Linked DNA regions of Macaca mulatta. The protein of the gene in region 1 interacts with the protein of each later gene in a biochemical or structural test. Links are inferred from orthologs where the notes say so. Each region holds a gene or a part of one and is shown in the gene's direction. Other genes may lie near its edges.

Region 1 (4,361 bases):
GTGACCACTTAGAAGCTGCTTGATCTGGGGCAAGCCTCAGCTTCCCATTAAAAACTGAGAACATTGAAATGTCTGGCTTACTCAATTCATAGAACTGTGCTGGATAGCAGATGTGGTCTTAAGTGAAGGTAGTTTGCATATTGTAAAGTTCTTTACAAAGACTGCTTTGGTTGCTATTCCCAGAACTCCCTCCAGGATTTCTCCAGGAGAAAAGGAAGCCATGGGCATCGTGGCCTCTTTGCTTAACTCCCCAACCCAGTTTCAGTTAGCCTCTTGGCTTTAGACCACACCTGGGCCACTGTCATCCCACAGAGCTGCTTCTTTACATGGTAGTCATCATCCTGCCTTTCCTCACCTCCCAGGACCTCAGTCTGCTCTCTACTCCTCCGTAAGCTGGCAGAGCAGCTTAAGCCTGCATCTGTGCATTCCTTGGGGCTCCCTACCTCAAGCCTATTTGGAGGAGATAACATCTGCTCTTCTTCAGAGGCTAGTCCATAGCCTTGGTTTTACAGAGCAGTGATAGGGGGTGATTTTTTTTTTTAAGTCTACAAAGTTTTTGTAACCTTATGAAGCACTTGTGATATCTCTGCTTTGCAGTTTGAGGCTTCCTTTGAGATGATCCCTAGAATTCAGGATATCCTCCTTTTTCATTCATGAGAGAGTTCAGCAAACCACTTCTTCCCCTAGGTGACCCATGCACTGGGTCTTCAGTGTGCATTCTGGGGTAATAGGTTTGAACTGCTCCCCTCCTCCCTGCTACCAAGTCCTTCTCAAGTGGGTCACAGTGATCAATAGCAGAAGCACTTCACTTCTTCCTGTGTCTTCAGGTGGTGGTGGTGCTGCAGCAGGTCTTCCAGCTTATCCAGAAGGTGCTGAGCAAATGGTTGAATGATGCCCAGGTTGTGGAGGTGAGCCCTGACCCTTGTCCTCTGCTCCCACAGTGACTGCTCAGAGGTGTAGCAGGGTAAGATGTTACTGCCACACGTCAGCTTACAATGGTTTGGAGAAACAAGGGAGGTGAATCCTGCCCCATAGAGATAAGGAATCTTTTGGGAAGACATTTAGAACTCCCCAATATGAGAAGTGCTTAACGCAAGAACTGTAATATTAGGGTCGAGTGACACTCAGGCATCTGTTTTAGCACCAGAGACCTGCCTTTGGTCCCTTTTCAATTCAGGTTTTTGTTGCTGTTGCTGCTCCCTGAGAGGAAATGGTAGAGATGTAAGTAGCAGGAGTTAAGTTCTACAGTTACATCCTTTGCCCCTCAGTGAAGGGCCTTTGCCCCTGCCTTTCAGGGTAAGGGTCAGACTTGCTTACGTTCTTTTGTTTGCAGGGCCAGGCAAGGCTTATAGGTAAGGGCCCGATTTTAGGCCCCCTCTGTGCAGGGCTTCAGCGCTGTTCCAGCCAGTCATGACCTGCTGACCAGGGCCCCTTTGTTTTCTTCCCAAGGCGGTGTGCGCTATCTTTGAGAAGTCTGTTAAGACGCTGCTGGATGACTTTGCCCCCATGGTGCCACAGCTGTGTGAGATGCTGGGTCGGATGTACAGCACCATCCCCCAGGCCTCTGCTCTTGACCTCACTCGACAGGTGGGCCTTCTGGTTGGGGCAGAGCTCCTGACCCTGGGTGGGGGTGGGTCAGATGGCTGCTGTGGCTGGGGTCCCCACTTGCATTCCAGGGATATTGCTCTATCCTGGTGAGACTGGGTCTCAGCTGACCAGCATTCCCTGCTTTCTTGTAGCTGGTCCACATCTTTGCTCATGAGCCTGCCCACTTTCCCCCAATTGAGGCCCTCTTCCTGCTCGTCACCTCCGTCACACTCACTCTCTTCCAGCAAGGTAGGTCCTGACCAGGGTCTCTGCTGCTGCTGCCACTGCCACTGCCTCTGCTTCCCCAAATGGGGAGCCAAAGCTGCCCACTCTGTTCTTCTCTGTCCCCTGAGTCACACGTGGGACTTGATGGGAAACCTGTGAGATCAAGCACAGCACCTTACAAATAGTTGAAACCTTAGGTTGAAGTGGATAAGAGGGTGAATGATGTCTTCTGCTGGCCTGCTGGGCTCAGGGCCAGTCTGGATATGGAAGAAGGAGGTGGGGGTGGGAGGTGGGCAGAGGCTCTGAGGGACTTGGGGCACTGGGCTGGCTCCTTTACTTTGGGATATAACGAAAAGTGGAAAGAGCACGGGCTTTTGAAGTCAACTAGACCTAGATTCTAAGTTCATCACCACCAACTAGTTGTGTGTCCTTGGGCAAGTCACTTACCTTTGCTGGGCCTTCATTTCCATATCTGTGAAACGGAGATACCATATACTTGAAATGAGTGTTTACAGGTGTTAAAGTCACATCTTCTGGGCCCCTGGCTCGGGGGCTTTTGCACAGTGAAGTACTCAGAGACCGCTTGTTCCTTTCCCCGCATCAAGGCTTAGTCCTTTCTAGGCCTGAAGTCGAGTACCTTTGGCTGTGGTCCTAGCCCTCCATTCACTGTGGCCCTTTGCCTGAGAGAGTTGGGAGCAGGGGCTTCATTCAGGCTTCTCGTGTTGTCTAATCCAGGCTTCCAATTTGGAGAAACAAAAACAAACAAAAAAAAACAACACTGCTCAGCTAGCCTCATGAGCCTTGCCTGGATTCGTGGTCACGGGTTTGAGGCTCCCCAGGGGTCTCGGTTGGCGCCCAGAGTACTTGCAGCTCATATCCTCAGTGCTTGGTCTCATGATCCTGGCCTCTGTTTCTGTGGGCCATGGAGTAGGTCCAAACTGGGGAGAAAACTGAACCAGAAACCTGGTGTGGTCATCCTCAACTCCACCTCTCCCACTCCCTGTACCCAATCTGGGACAAGCCCCATTGATCCTGGCTCCTGATTCTCTCTCGGTCGGTCCACTTCTACCCACCTCTGTGGCCACTGCCTCAGTTTAGGGTCTCACCTGGATTATCAGCAACCTTCTAGTGGGTTTTCTTGACATCTCCCCTTCTCTCCAATCTGTTCTGCACACTGCAGCTATAATCTTCATGAAAACACAAATCTGAGCATTTGTCTTCCCAGGCTTAAAACCCTTTCATTGTTCCCATTGCCCTCAGCTTATTGTTCCATTCCCACCCACGTGACAAGGCTCTGTCATGCCTCTCCTGTCCTCTCCTGCTGATGTCCTCATGACTCCAACATTCCAGCCACACTGCCTCTTCCTTACTGTGTCCCATTTGATCCCTGTGCCTTGCTCCTCTGACTGGAATGTCCTATGCCCTTTACTGGGTGAACTCTCACTCCTTCATGCCTTACAAAAGAGGAGGACTGCATCACTTCTCAAAGTAATTTTTCTGAGGCAGAATTGGGTGCTTCTAACTGTACTGAAACTGCATCCCGTACACACTGCTGAAACAGCACCGATCACACACAATAATCAGCTTTCATGTCTATCTCTCTTACTAGACTAAGCCCCTCAAGGGTAGGGTTGAGTTTCTTCTCTCTGCATCCCCAGTGCCCAGAATGAGGCCAGAATACAGCAGGCCACAGACGCTGTTAAGTAAAGGAGAGGGAAGGCTCCCTGCCCTTGGAACCTTCTCACTGTCTGGCCCACCTCTAACAGGGTGGCTGCTGAATATCAAACCTGCAGGGTGCACATTGGGCCTCACTTTCTAGGACTTAAATAACTCAGAGTTCAGATACCAAAGGAACAGGCTTTATTTACTGGTGACTCTTCATAGCCTAGAGAAGGAAGCAGGGCAGAGATTATCTGCTTTACAGATGGGGAAACTGAGCATTTGTGGCTTGCGCAAGATCACACAGCTACTTAGTGGTGTCTTAGGCAGATGGTTTTGCACCACATCCTCCTCAGAGTGGAGAAGCCTGGGTAGGAGCTCCAGGTGCATGCCATATTCTTGCCTCAGGAATCATCAGAACTGGAGGCAGAAGTGTCCAACATCATATTTGTTGGGCTTGTTGGTTGTCTCACTGGACAGGATGGCTCCCATACCTGTTACGCCATCCCAATCTTAGCCATTCCTTCCTCGGGCTCTGCCTTCCCACTGGACCATGGGATGACACGTTGACTGCTTTCCCTATTTCTTGGCATGTCCAGATGATGGGAACTAGTCCTCAGCCCTGAGCTTGGCTCTCTGCTGAGTCTGTGTCCATGTGGAGGAGCTTTGCTGGGGTGGGGCTCTTGTTTTCGGCCTTATGATGCTGTTTCCTCCTCTGGTTCCCTGCCAGTGACTTGCCAGGCCATCTCCAGAGCATGCTGGGCACTGCCATACCTAAGCAAGAGTCCTCTGGTTTAAGTGGACCAAATAGATTATTTTCCTTTGCCAGATCAAGAGCCCTAAGGCCATTGAAGTGAGGTGGCACTTACTCAGGCTCTGATGCCCTGGCC
Region 2 (5,121 bases), about 9.3 Mb from region 1:
ATAGGGTCTTGCTTCGTCACCCAGGCTGGAGTGTAGTGGTATGATCATGGTTCGCTGCAGCCTTGACCTCCCAGGCTCAAATTATCCTCCTACCTCAGCCTCCCAAGTAGTTGGGACTACAGGTGTGCACCACCACACCTACCTAATTTTTAAATTTTTTGTAGAGACAAAGTCTCTCTATGTTACCCAAGCTGGTCTCAAACTTCTGGGCTCAAGTGATCCTTCTGCCTCAGCCTCCCAAACTGCTGGGATTACAAGTGTGAGCCACTGTGTCTAGCCCCCTTCTCTTTTATACAGTTCCCTTGTTACTACCAATATGCGGTGTTTTGTAATAAAAATGTCATGGTTTTATAGCAATTTACAGTTTCCGAGACATTGTTTCTTATAACAGTTCTGCTAGGTGTACGTTTTTATGCTCATTTTAAAGAGAAGGAAACTCTGAAGTCTAAAAAGTTGAGTCAGTTCACCTTTGGTTACAATGAGTCATTGTTAAAACAAAAGATTTTAACCAGTGTCCAATGGTTTTTTTCCCCCACCACACCTACTCTACACTCTGCTGCTAATGCTTTTTCAGGGAGAAAAGGACTCATTGTTAAGACTGGGGGCCATGCACGGTGGCTCATGCCTGTAATCCCAGCACTTTGGAAGGCTGAGGCGGATGGATCGCCTGAGGTCGGGAGTTTGAGACCAGCCTGGCCAACATGGTGAAACCCTGTCTCTACTAAAAATACAAAAATTAGCTGGATGTGGTGGCACGTGCCTGTAATCTCAGCTACTTGGGAGGCTAAGGCAGGAGAATCACTTGAACCCAGGAGGTGGAGGTTGCGGTGAACTGAGAACCAGCCGTTGCACTCTAGCCTGGGCAACAAGAGCAAAACTCTGTCTCAAAAAAAAAAAAAAAAAAAAAGACTGGGGGTAGGAATCAGAGACTGCTGTCCCGACTTACAGAATCTTATACTGTTCTAGTTGCCAGGCCCCAAGAATGATGTCATCTCAGCACTGTCTCTAGAACCATTCATTCTCTCTAAGTGTGGAACTTAGACGAGTGAGAGCAGGCTCCTATTAAATAATTATGATCTTGATTGCTCTGGCCCTACTCAACTGTAAATTTTTTCCAGAGCCAGAATGGCTTCACAGAGGACAACTTTGCTCTGAAAAGAGTCTCTTTGGTCAGTGGTCCTCAACTGAGAGCTTTACAAAGAGTACCAATGCCCAGTTCCAGCGCTGGAGATTTTAATTGGCTTGGGGTAGAGCCCTGGCATCAGTATTTTTAGAGGCTCCCCAGGTAATTCCAATGTGCAGCCAGGCTGAGAATCACTGCTCGGTAAGTGGGATGACTGGGGAGTGGGAGATCAAATACTCTAACTTCTCACAGCACCTATTCTAGAGATCAGTGGGGCAGAAAGATAGAAATAAAAGGTGGAAAAGGACGAAATGGGTAAGTGTGGGTGAACTAGTTCCAGGGAAACGGCAATCTCCACTGTGGATTCAGGGAAGGCGTCACTGAGGGCTTTCTTAACAGTTCAGGTCAATGGAAGCCATCTTGAGGCACACACATCGTGCGCGGCATCCTCCGGGAAGGTCGGGTCATTTCACCCCATTTTACTGCCGAGATGACCTAGGTCCAGAGACGGTAAAGAGCGGTGTACGACTCACACAAGTCGGGGGTCCTGTGAACTGAGGTTGAGCCTGGCGGGGGCAAGGCTCGGGGTGTTCGGTCCGAGATCTTTAAGCGAAGTCACCAGACCCCGCGTTCAAAGCCCAGAGGTAGGCAGGCGGCTGGCTCTCGGCCTCAGGCCGGGAGAGAACCCAGCGGGTACCAACCTCAACCTCGCTCCCGCGTCCAGGTGGAGAAGCGGAGCTGGTTGGCCCCGCCTCCGGGTTAAACAAAGTTCGTTACCTCCTAGGCGTGAGAGGGTGTGGCAGTCTTGTTGTCACTTCCGGGCGAATAGGTTAGCTAGAAGGAACCCCTCCATTACGCGACGGCGTAATCTGACGTCACTTCCGCGCGCCGCCGCAAACGTCAGTGTCGGGCGCAGACCGCAGCAGTGCGGCTTGCTGTTGGAAGTTCAGGCTCGGTTGTCTTTTGGGAGCCATGGAGAGTGACTTTTATCTGCGTTACTACGTGGGGCACAAGGGCAAATTCGGCCACGAGTTCCTGGAGTTTGAGTTCCGACCGGATGGTAAAAGCAGCCTGCCGCCCGCCGGGAGCGGGACCAGGCCTTGGGGCGGGCGAGTGGGGAGGCCGAGGGTCGGAAATCTGTGGGGAACTAGAGGAGGAAGGGGCTGAGACCTGTGCAGTGCGGATCTGAAAGGAGCGCCACTGTGTCTGCTCCACGGCGTCGTTTTATCCATACAACAAACGTTGGCTGAACGCCCACTGTGTGCCAGGCTCTGTTCCACTCTTTGGGGATACGACAGCGAAGATAGACAAACTTCCTCTCTCGTGGAACTTGTGTTTTACTGCTGGGAGAGAGATCATAAAAAGATGATTCCGGATAGCAGTGAGTGGTCAGAAAATATGGTAGAATCGCTGGATGGGCTGCTTTTAGATAGGTTGGCCATTAGAGAGCTCTAATGGTATATTGCAGCTGAGCCCTAATTAGCAAGAAGGACCCAGCCTTGTGAAGCTCACAAGGAAGACCATTCTACCCAAAGGGAATACCAGAAGTCAAGGCTGCAGGGCGGGAATGAGCTTAGGCATGTCTCAGGTGGTCAGTGTGATTGAAGAGTGGTGAGCTGGGAGATGGCAGGAGATGATGTCGGATAGGTAGTAGGAGCCGCACCTTGTAGATCTTTATAGACCATGGTAAAGAGTTTGGACTTGGAAGGCTTTTTTTATTTTATTTATTTTTTTTTTTGAGACGGGTTTCGCTCTTTTTGCCCAGGCTGTAATGCTATGGCGCGATTTCGGATCATTGCAACCTCCGCCTCCCGAGTTAAAGCGATTCTCCTGCCTCAGCCTCCCGAGTAGCTGGTATTACAGACACCCACCACCACGCCCGGCTAATTTTGTATTTTTAGTAGAGACAGGGTTTCACCAGGTTGGCCAGGCTGGTCTCGAACTTCTGACCTCGGGCGATCCGCCGGCCTCGGTGTCCCAAAGTGCTGCGATTACAGGCGTGAGCCACCGCGCCTGGCCGGGCTTGGAAGGTTTTAAGCAGAGAAGAAATGTGATCTGTTCTTGAAAAAGCATTCTGGTTATTGGGTGCGGAATGGGCAACAGTGAAAACAGGGCTATTGATTAGGAGACTGTTGTCAAGACAAGAAAGATGTTGGGGGCCAGTCGCAGTGGCTCACGCCTGTAATCCCAGGACTTTGGGAGGCTGAGGTGTGCGGATAACTTGAGGTTAGGAGTTCGAGACCAGCCTGGCCAACATGGTGAAACCCCGCCTCTACTAAAAATACAAAAATTAGCCGGACGTGGTGGCAGATGCCTGTAATCCCAGCTGTTCGGGAGGCTGAGACAGGATAATCGCTTGAACCTGGGGCGGAGGTTGCAGTGAGCTGAGATAGTGCCAGTGTACTCCAGTCTGGGTGACAGAGCGAGACTGTGTCACAAAAAAAAAAAAAAAAAAAAGATGTCGGTTGGGACTACAGAGATAGTAGAAATGGAGAGAAAGATTTAGGAAACTGTTGGAGGCAGAATCAACTGGACTTTGATCGTTGATAGGATTTTTTTGGCGGAGGCACTGTGGTGAAGGAAAGAGGAATCAAAGATGACAGAAAACATCCATTAAGCGGGCCACAAAGATGTATCTGACAGGCCCCGACTGTGAGGGAGATGGATTTGTAAGCAGGGACCAAACAGCGTATTAGGTGTTGTGGTAAAAAGAAACAGAGGAGACTTGCAGCAGAGAAGGGGCACCTAGCCAAGCCTGAGGGTCAGAGGAGGCTTCCTACATAAAATGATGGGAGGAGGGGATGTGAGGTATTGGTTAGGAGACCAAGAAGAGTCAAGAAGGCATTTTAGACAGCATGCAAAGAGGCTGAAAACCAAAAAGTGCTTGGGATGTTTCAGGCAGAAACCAAGTTGTTCGACTCCAGCTGTGTGAGAGAAGAATATTGCAGGAGTGAGGCTGGAAAAGCAGGCAGGGGCTTTGCTTAGCCGTATGCCATGTTGAGGAGTTTGGATTTTTTTTTTTTTTTTTTTTTTGAGATGGAGTCTTGCTCAGTTGCCCAGGCTGGAGTGCAGTGGCACGATCTGGGTTCACTACAAGCTCCGCCTCCCGGGTTCACGCTATTCTCCTGCCTCAGCCTCCTAGGTAGCTGGGACTACAGGCGCCCGCCACCACGCCTGGCTAATTTTTTACATTTTTAGTAGAGACGGGGTTTCACCGTGTTAGCCAGGATGGTCTCGATCTCCTGACCTCGTGATCTGCCCGCCTCGGCCTCCCAAAGTGCTGGGATTACAGGCGTGAGCCACCGCGCCCGGCCGGATTTTAACCAGGAAGGCAGCGGAAAGCCATTGACTTTATCAAAGTATTAGAGTAACCTAATCTGATAGATCTGTTACCACATCACCTTGTCCACTATATGGACAGTGAACTGAATGTGAAGAAACTTGAGGCAGAGAGACAGCACAGAGACCGTTGGAATAAATTCACTGGGCTCATCTCACATGTATGTCTTCTAGTCTACATGTCTTCTGTTTCCTTCTATCTTCTCCTCATCCCCACCATGTATTCACATTAACCTGTTAGACGCACACATGGACAAAGGGTCTTGTGTACCAAATGTGCTCAGTGATAAAAGCAACAACTTTTCCATCACAGAAATAGAGTGTGGCACAGTCACATGATAATATATGTAAACAGCATCCTACAGTTTTCAAAATGTTTTCACAACTCATTTGAGCCTCAGGAGGTCCTATGTGCTGGTAAGTTATCATTTACTCTGCCTGTTTTCAGGACATTCACCTGCAAAAATGTGATTCGACAAAGTCAGAAAAGAGCCTGCCTGTGTTTTTACCTCACCTGAGCTGCTTTTTGCAGTAGTTGAGTGTCAGCTGTATATTTGGCTGTTTAAGCCTGAAGTGAAGAACTGAAAGACTAGTATTGTTGAACTACCTTAAGAGTAAATAATAAATGTCTTAGACACTTTGAGCAAGTTGGATACATT

Evidence for each region. The genes of interacting proteins can lie anywhere in the genome.
Region 2: the proteins of IPO13 (region 1) and MAGOH form a complex in vitro, tested with the Homo sapiens proteins (2 studies listed by BioGRID and IntAct). The link is inferred for Macaca mulatta from reciprocal best matches to the Homo sapiens genes IPO13 and MAGOH.

The regions. Positions count from the first base shown.
Region 1 is NC_133406.1:196,691,637-196,695,997, reverse strand, and holds part of IPO13 (importin-13), read left to right. Parts: intron 1-523; exon of another isoform or gene 524-827; coding exon 828-908; exon of another isoform or gene 909-1,449; coding exon 1,450-1,587; coding exon of another isoform or gene 1,588-1,624; exon of another isoform or gene 1,625-1,711; coding exon of another isoform or gene 1,712-1,739; coding exon 1,740-1,836; exon of another isoform or gene 1,837-1,965; intron 1,966-2,259; exon of another isoform or gene 2,260-2,762; intron 2,763-2,918; exon of another isoform or gene 2,919-3,020; intron 3,021-4,361. UniProt on the Homo sapiens protein: Functions in nuclear protein import as nuclear transport receptor. Serves as receptor for nuclear localization signals (NLS) in cargo substrates.
Region 2 is NC_133406.1:187,368,318-187,373,438, forward strand, and holds the start of MAGOH (protein mago nashi homolog), read left to right. Parts: upstream 1-2,022; 5' UTR 2,023-2,095; coding exon 2,096-2,183; intron 2,184-5,121. UniProt on the Homo sapiens protein: Required for pre-mRNA splicing as component of the spliceosome. Plays a redundant role with MAGOHB as core component of the exon junction complex (EJC) and in the nonsense-mediated decay (NMD) pathway.